Oryzias latipes: one gene and its partner. The protein of the gene in region 1 purifies or fractionates together with the protein of each later gene. This does not show direct contact. Links are inferred from orthologs where the notes say so. Each region holds a gene or a part of one and is shown on either strand. Other genes may lie near its edges.

Region 1 (4,445 bases):
TCGGTCAATTGGCCAAATATTTGAATCCAAAGATCGTTCTGACATGATATCCCCTTTGGAGTCTAAAAATTGGTGCTATTTATTCCCGACAGCACAGTTGACTGACTTACTGAGGGCCATCCTGAATGAGGGAAGGCACATACGTGTTCATCAGCATCCACTGCAGGTCTTTCCTGAATCTAAAAGAAAAATGGAATACATTAGTTTAAAAAAAATGAGATATGTGAGCTTCAATAACAATCCAGGACTCAAATAAATACTTTGGATTGGTAGTGAACCTCCTCACCTGCTCTCCTTCTGCCTCAGCAGTAACCTCGCCTCGGTGTATTGCCCCTCTACAGGGCTGCTGTTATTTGCTATGATCTGGTACAGTTTCTTCGGTGGTGCTGAAGTTGGTGGAGGAGGAGGCGGACAAGCAGCCAGTGGAGGAGGTGGAGGAGGTGATGACAAGCTGCAGTCCACCGGCATAGTCTCAAAATCTTTCTACTCTGTCTGATCAAAACCAGCTCTGTTGGGGGGAAAAATGTACCTCCATTGATTTCTTTAATAACCACCAGGGAGAAAGTTAAGTACCATTAAAGTCTAACATGGGGCTCAATAACTGCTTACCTTTCACTTCGAGTCGTTTGCACACAATCTAAAAAGCTCGATGTTTACCTAAACATGTCAACCTTTGGACGAAAAAGATTTGACATATTCTTGCACGTGGTAAACAAACTTTTCGATTTAACTAGCTAACAAGCTAGTAGCTAACGCAGCTCCGTGCTCATATTTGGACATACTCGCTCTTCTTCGTGTGTGCGATCGCTCTGTACTCAACTGTTACACCACCCTCCAGTGAGTGATGATGATCATTCCATCACTAGTCATCTACAGTTTAACACACCATTTACACACATACCGTACAATGTATTTGGAAATAAAGTTGAAGGCACAAAGTTAGTGACAAGTCAATCCACAGTCAGTGTGTAACAGGACAAGCGAAGTTTTTTTCGCTTGTGTCTCTGGGTTTTTTTCTTTTTCTTTTACAGATTTTTGACATTTTCTTTTAATCTTTCCTGTCAAGATACGATACCACACTGATAGGACGATTAAAATATCTTGCTAACGCAAATACTGAAACAAATTTCGTTTTTGACCATTGACTGAAAAGGACCGCAAATACACTGGCTTTATTTCTATTTTTTATTCTTGTTTTATTTATGTATTTATTTTTACTGTTACTGTATTGTTACTTAGTTTTTCCCTCTGTGATTGCTTTAATTGTATATTATTGAACAAGATTCGTTTTAACAATCGATATTGCTTATAATTTTGTTCTTAATAGTTTTCACAAGGTTAGAGTGAGGTGGAGGACGATGATTCGCTGTGGCGACCCCTGATGGGAAAAGCCGAAAGAGAAAGAAGAAGTTTTTTACAAGGTTAAAAAGATTTTTTTATTTATTCAGAACGTAATTGTATTCTTTATATTTTACTGTTATAAATGTTGCATTTTTGTATTATATTCTGCAAATGTTCAATAAAAAAGAGAAGGACCGGAAATCACGTGCAAGTTGGATTTATCGCGAGCAGATGATACGGAAATTGTAAAGGCAGGTTTTTCATTCACCCATCGAAGTGAGCGTTCCTTTCGCGCCGAGCGGTGGTGGGTTTTTTGTTAAAACTGATACTCAGGTGCGGTTATCCGGTGTTTTTTCTCTTTTATAAAACCAAATGTCATAAGGTTACAGATAGTTCGATTAAATTAATCATTTATTGCTGATTTGTCTCAGTTTATACCGAGTTTTAAGCTTTATGCTAGTAATGCCTGCATGCATTCAGGGTTGTTTGCTAGCGCTAGCTGTTAGCCTGCTAACTAGTTGATAGCATTCAATTCATTTTATGTGACATGCTTTGTTCTTTTCCAAACAACTCTTCGTAGATTTTAAGATGACCACTCCAGAAGTACGACCCAATCACACCATATATATCAACAACTTGAACGAAAAAATTAAGAAAGATGGTAAGTTTTTTAACTTCTGGCCTTTCTTTGCTTTTTTGGTCGAAAGAACGATGTGGTGATAAATGATGTTAATTCAGATCCACCACAGCTTTTTATTTTCCTCTGTCTTTATTAGAACTGAAGAAGTCACTGTACGCCATCTTCTCGCAATTCGGTCAAATTTTGGACATCCTCGTCGCACGAACCCTGAAGATGAAGGGTCAGGCCTTTGTTATCTTCAAAGAGATCAACAGCGCCTCAAATGCACTGAGGTCCATGCAGGGGTTCCCTTTCTATGATAAACCCATGGTAAGTTAAACGTTGTTTTAATTTCCTCCATGGTTTTAAATTTACAAATATCGTCCTGTAAAATGTTAAAACTCAAATCAATCTTAGTTTTCAATATTCCTCTCTGCTGTCATGTGTTGTATAGTTTGTGAAATGTTTCAATTCCACAGTGTGCATCAAATGAAGGATTGATCTTTGTAAACTTAGAAGTGCTCAGTGTGAGAGGATCACTGAACACTTAACACTGAACACTTTTTAATGGTTATTAAAAATACATTTAAATAACTAGTAGGTATAATGGATTTTTTCTTTTTTTTAAGCACACTTGGTATAGTAATGCCACATATTTAAACGTGTCTTACTGCAGCGCATTCAGTATTCCAAAACAGACTCGGACATCATAGCAAAAATGAAAGGAACCTATGTGGAACGTGAGCGCAAAAAGGAGAAGAGGAAGCCCAAGCCTGAAGGAACAGGAGCTAAGAAAGCTGCTGCTGCAGCCATGATGGCTGGTGTGCCTACTGCTATGCCTGTAAGTGGGAACGTTTACTGTGACCAGAATGACATGGCAGCTCTTACTCGGACAAGTTAAAAGTGGAAAAATACTGTCTGCAAACTTGCTAAGTTTACCATAGCGATAGGTTGTTTGGAGATTTTAAGCTAAAATAACAGCAATTGATGGAGAAAAAGTTTGGTTTAAAAACCCCACAGAACATAATATCAACCTAGCAAACATTTAGAGGACCATGAACATGTTTACAATGTGTCATTCTCTAGGGAATGCCTCCTATGAGCCAAGCTCCCCGTATGATGCATATTCCAGGCCAGCCGGCCTACATGCCTCCTCCAGGCATGATGCCTCCCCCAGGAATGGCGCCTGGCCAGATCCCCCCAGGTGCAATGGGTCAGATGATGCCTGGCCAAATGCCTCAGCAGGTAATGATTTTTGTCCCCCTGTTCTTTACATGTTTAACCAAAGATGAACATTCCAGGTTTTGTTTCTTTTTTGTCAAACATTTGCCTTCTCTTACAGGTTGCAGAAAATCCACCGAATCACATCCTCTTCCTCACCAACCTGCCAGAGGAGACGAACGAGCTGATGCTCTCCATGCTCTTTAACCAGTCAGTATTGACTTGATAATTGTTTTATGCTTTGACTTTCTTTTCTGCCCAACATATCAAAGACTGACCGTGACCGTTTTCTGCGTTTAGGTTCCCTGGCTTTAAAGAGGTGCGTCTGGTCCCTGGTCGCCATGACATCGCCTTTGTGGAGTTTGATAATGAGGTTCAGGCTGGAGCTGCACGAGATTCACTACAGGGATTCAAAATCACACAGACTCATGCAATGAAGATCTCATTTGCCAAGAAATAATGCCAACACAGGTTGAAATTTGTAATTTGTTTTTTTCCTTTTTAAGTGGTGGAAGTAAAAGGCGTTTTTTTAATAAAATATTTGTTTTTTTCCCAGATTACATGTAAGTATGCTTTTTCTAAGTCACTTTGACATGACTTTAGTTTTAAAAAGTTTGAAAGCATTGCACCCAGTGTCTGACTTGTCAGACATTGTACCTGGAGCTTGGTATTTGTTGTTTTGTATTAAAGTAATTAGATTACTTGATTGATTTTCATTATTTCTTGTTTATGGATTTTTTTTTGGTCATCTAAAACTTGTATTTACTCCATCCTTCTCAGACTGGCACCTACACAGCTTCCTGCAAGGGGTGTAACAATTAATCAATGTATCGATTTATCCAACCGGATCTGAGGCAAGTTCGTAATTAACCTATAGCATTATAAAATCCTTTCAAAATAATATGAATGAATGATAATCGATCTCGGAAAATACTAGTTGAACTGAGACATGATCGTGTTTTTTTTTGTTTTTTTTTACCATAACTATTAGTAATGAATTGTTGTTTACTTGTTTTGTACACATTTATTTACACTAAATTATCTTGCAAGAAATCCAAGTAATCTGGTAAACGTCACTTTCACTGCACAGCACCCTGGTATTTATTATGAGATGCATGGAGTTGTCCTGGATTGATTTTAGGTCATAGGATCATTCAAAGTACACATATCTACTATGAATCTTGTCGGCAACCACAAACTGAGCCGAATTATTAAAATGCATTGGTACACCTCTACCTCCTGCCAATTCGTTTAAACTGTAGTG
Region 2 (3,043 bases), on another chromosome or scaffold:
CTGAGCATTTTCGCAGGGTCCACCTGTGTGAGCCAGACCCCCACCACCACCTCGCTACACCAGAGGAAGTCCAGTTCTGTCAGCAACAACCCGTTTTTATCTTTTTTCTTGTTTTTCTGGGGTATGACGCGTCTTGTAGGTTGAAGCTTCCTTTGTCCGTGGTCGCTTTCCTGTGTTTCCAAGGTCTGTATGTACAAAGGTTTCAAATCCCTGAAGGACATTTACAAATACAAGTGCAACCTCCATGTGACCGGCCCTTTCGGGAGGGGCCGAAAAAGGGGAAACGGTACCGATCAATTCAAACGTGCCACGGTAGGAATGGGGGGGGGACACCAATGTCAGGAATGAAGGCAGAAGATGTAGGAATGTGGAGATCCTGGAATGTGGCACCAAAATATTCCATCACAATCTGAGGAATGTCCGAAATGCGATCGACCTTAGAAAGTGCACAAAACGAAGCGTCTGCTGTTGGTTTCCTTCATGCTGGTCTCCTTAAGTCCTAAACCCAACTTCTCCACACCCACAACTGACTGAATTGGAGGAATTTGTTCCACACTTGTTCTGTCAGTGATGTCCTCTGAGGGCGTTTCCGTGGTGACCCAGATGGCAGAAATCAATGTGGGGTGAGAGTTTTTTTTTTGTCCTTTTTGTAGCGAGAAGTTAGGGTGTAAACCTTTATATATCAGGAGGGGGCGCTGGCTGGAAAAGTGACTACATGGGGAGATGTTGAACACATTCTCATTCTCACACAACATAAACTCCTCCTGTCTTTGAGGAGCCTTGGAAGATTTTAGCTCTGGGTCGTCGGTGCGTTTTTTTTTGGACTTTTTATCACATTATCGGAGAAAATGAATAGCAGTTACTGAGTAGTAGCCAAATCCAAACAGTGTTAAAGACCGACAAACGCAGCGTCAGAAAACCCCTTCCGTCTTCAAGGAAGATCCAACCTGGTGCCGTGTCGTCCCTTACGGCCTCCTCTTACATTCCTTTCGGGGAAGAAGGTGGAAAAAGAAGAGGTTTAGGCAGAGGAACTCACAACGGAAGAGTGGAAAAGGACTTTCAGCTCCTCTGTGGTTCCACGGGCTAACACCAGAGGGGGGCTTTCAGGACGGTTGGGACAATAGGAAGAGGATGATGGATCAGCCTTTGTGGGTTTTTTTAGCTAGGAGTTGATCCAGGGGTGATTGAGGCATTCGCTGGCCGAGGCTCTCTTCTCAGGAACCATCTCCAGCATGGGCAGAAGGAATTGAGTGAATTGGCTCGCGTCTTCTGGCGACCAGCCGTACTTTTCCACCAGGACGTCGAACAGCGACCACGGCTTCAGCTTGGTAATGTGCCGCAGGTCACCTGAGGTTCAGATAAAGCAGAGTCAGGGTGGAGGACAGAGATGACTGAAAATGAAAAACGAGAATGCTGGTTTTCCATTTTCTCAAACAATTTAAAGGGAAGAAAACCCTGACAAATGAAAAAATAATGAGGCACATTTGGTATTTTCCTTTATTACTGAATGTGGAACAGAATCGATCATGATTAAAGTGTTCCTGAGAGAACTTTCAGATACCAGCAGTCTTGATTTTCATCCTTGCATTTTAATGCATTTGAAGCACAAACATCAAAGCTTTCCTTATTTTAATGAACATTCATGCACATACATGAAAAATCGTACATGTGGAAAAACTGCAGTGAGTACCAACTATAGTAGTACTATCGAGAGTTATCAAGAGTTTTGAACTCACTAAAAACACAACAACTGGAATCTGACTCAAAACCTTACTGCAGAATAGCTCCAATATTGGCTGCCATTTTTGGTGCACCTGTAATGTTAGCTTGGCTGGGAGCTCGTGGAAGAGTGAGTAAACAGATGGATGATGGGAAGTGAGGGCGGGCTATCATCAACAGTCCCACCCACAACTCAGAGGCAAATTTCTAATGAACCAATGCTCTGCAGAATCAGTGTCCTAGAAAATGAATCAGTTTTTTTCTATAATTTTAGCTAAAAACGGCACAATTTTAATTAAAAGGCCAATAGGAACGCTTTACAATAGATCAATCAGAGTGGGACTTCAAATTCACTTTTATGTTTTTGTCATTTCATTTATACGACAGACTCAGACTCTTAAGAAGTCCAGTTTAAAAATGTGGTTGCCGTGGTAACCCCTTTCTTTTGCACATGATGGGGGATGAAACAGAGATTTGACTCCAGTAGAATCCTGCCGAGCGCCTTTGAGCAAGACAGCAGAGACCCCAGAGACAGACCCGGAAAGCGGGTCTAGATTAACGCAGCAAAACCAGATAAAAGGCAGAACACGGAGACACGAAGTGTGGACTCAGACCTCGGATAGAGACATCAAAGGCCGGATCTTCCCATCTCATTGTAAAGAGTAAACTAGCAGAAAGGAGAGTGCAGCGGTCATCAGCTCTATCGGGTTCATACCTCACCCGGCCCAAACAGAAGGGATTTCCACATATTATTTAAAGACACTGTACGGCGAGACAGAACCAATAGTGCTCGCCATTTTTGTTGCACCTGTAATGTTAGCTTGGAGTTGTGAGGACTTGCAGACTAGCAGTGTAAAACAATGGATGATGGGAAAGGGAGGCAGGCTTATTCTGCACCTACAGCTCCGCCCACAACTATGAGGCAAATTTCTAAGGAGTTACTGCTGCTTTTTTTTTTGGCTAAAAGAGCCATAATCATAGTTTAAAGACGACTGGGAATGGATTCCAAAAGTGGGACTCCAACTTCAAACTGTAGCCTCAGACAGAGCGGAAAAGTTTTAAAACAGGCTTTTAGTCATGATAAGCTTATTTGGTGTTTGTAACCATTACATTCTTTCTGTCTTCACCTCAAAACCTTCCAGCATAAAGTATTTGTCCAGTGAAGATGAGAAGGAAAAGTTCAATAACATGTTCTAATAACGCATGAGTGGAATTAAAATGACAAGTGCTTTAAGTGTTTTAGGGCTGCTATCAATGCTAACGCTAGAAAGACTTCCACACTTGCAGCTAGATGACCGTTTTTCATTTTTAAGTTCAGTCAGTC

Evidence for each region.
Region 2: the proteins of snrpa (region 1) and SRSF protein kinase 2 purify together in Homo sapiens (affinity purification with mass spectrometry; 4 studies listed by BioGRID and IntAct, with this or other methods). This does not show direct contact. The link is inferred for Oryzias latipes from reciprocal best matches to the Homo sapiens genes SNRPA and SRPK2.

The regions. Positions count from the first base shown.
Region 1 is NC_019871.2:13,958,141-13,962,585, forward strand, and holds snrpa (U1 small nuclear ribonucleoprotein A), read left to right. Parts: upstream 1-1,592; 5' UTR 1,593-1,674; intron 1,675-1,921; 5' UTR 1,922-1,929; coding exon 1,930-2,002; intron 2,003-2,117; coding exon 2,118-2,290; intron 2,291-2,636; coding exon 2,637-2,801; intron 2,802-3,046; coding exon 3,047-3,205; intron 3,206-3,302; coding exon 3,303-3,391; intron 3,392-3,481; coding exon 3,482-3,641; 3' UTR 3,642-3,652; intron 3,653-3,737; 3' UTR 3,738-3,887; downstream 3,888-4,445. Other genes in the region: c13h19orf54 (UPF0692 protein C19orf54 homolog), read right to left, coding at 111-179, 287-468. UniProt on the Homo sapiens protein: Component of the spliceosomal U1 snRNP, which is essential for recognition of the pre-mRNA 5' splice-site and the subsequent assembly of the spliceosome. U1 snRNP is the first snRNP to interact with pre-mRNA.
Region 2 is NC_019864.2:11,768,370-11,771,412, forward strand, and holds the end of SRSF protein kinase 2, read right to left. Parts: intron 1,348-3,043; coding exon 1,163-1,347; 3' UTR 598-1,162; downstream 1-597. UniProt on the Homo sapiens protein: Serine/arginine-rich protein-specific kinase which specifically phosphorylates its substrates at serine residues located in regions rich in arginine/serine dipeptides, known as RS domains and is involved in the phosphorylation of SR splicing factors and the regulation of splicing.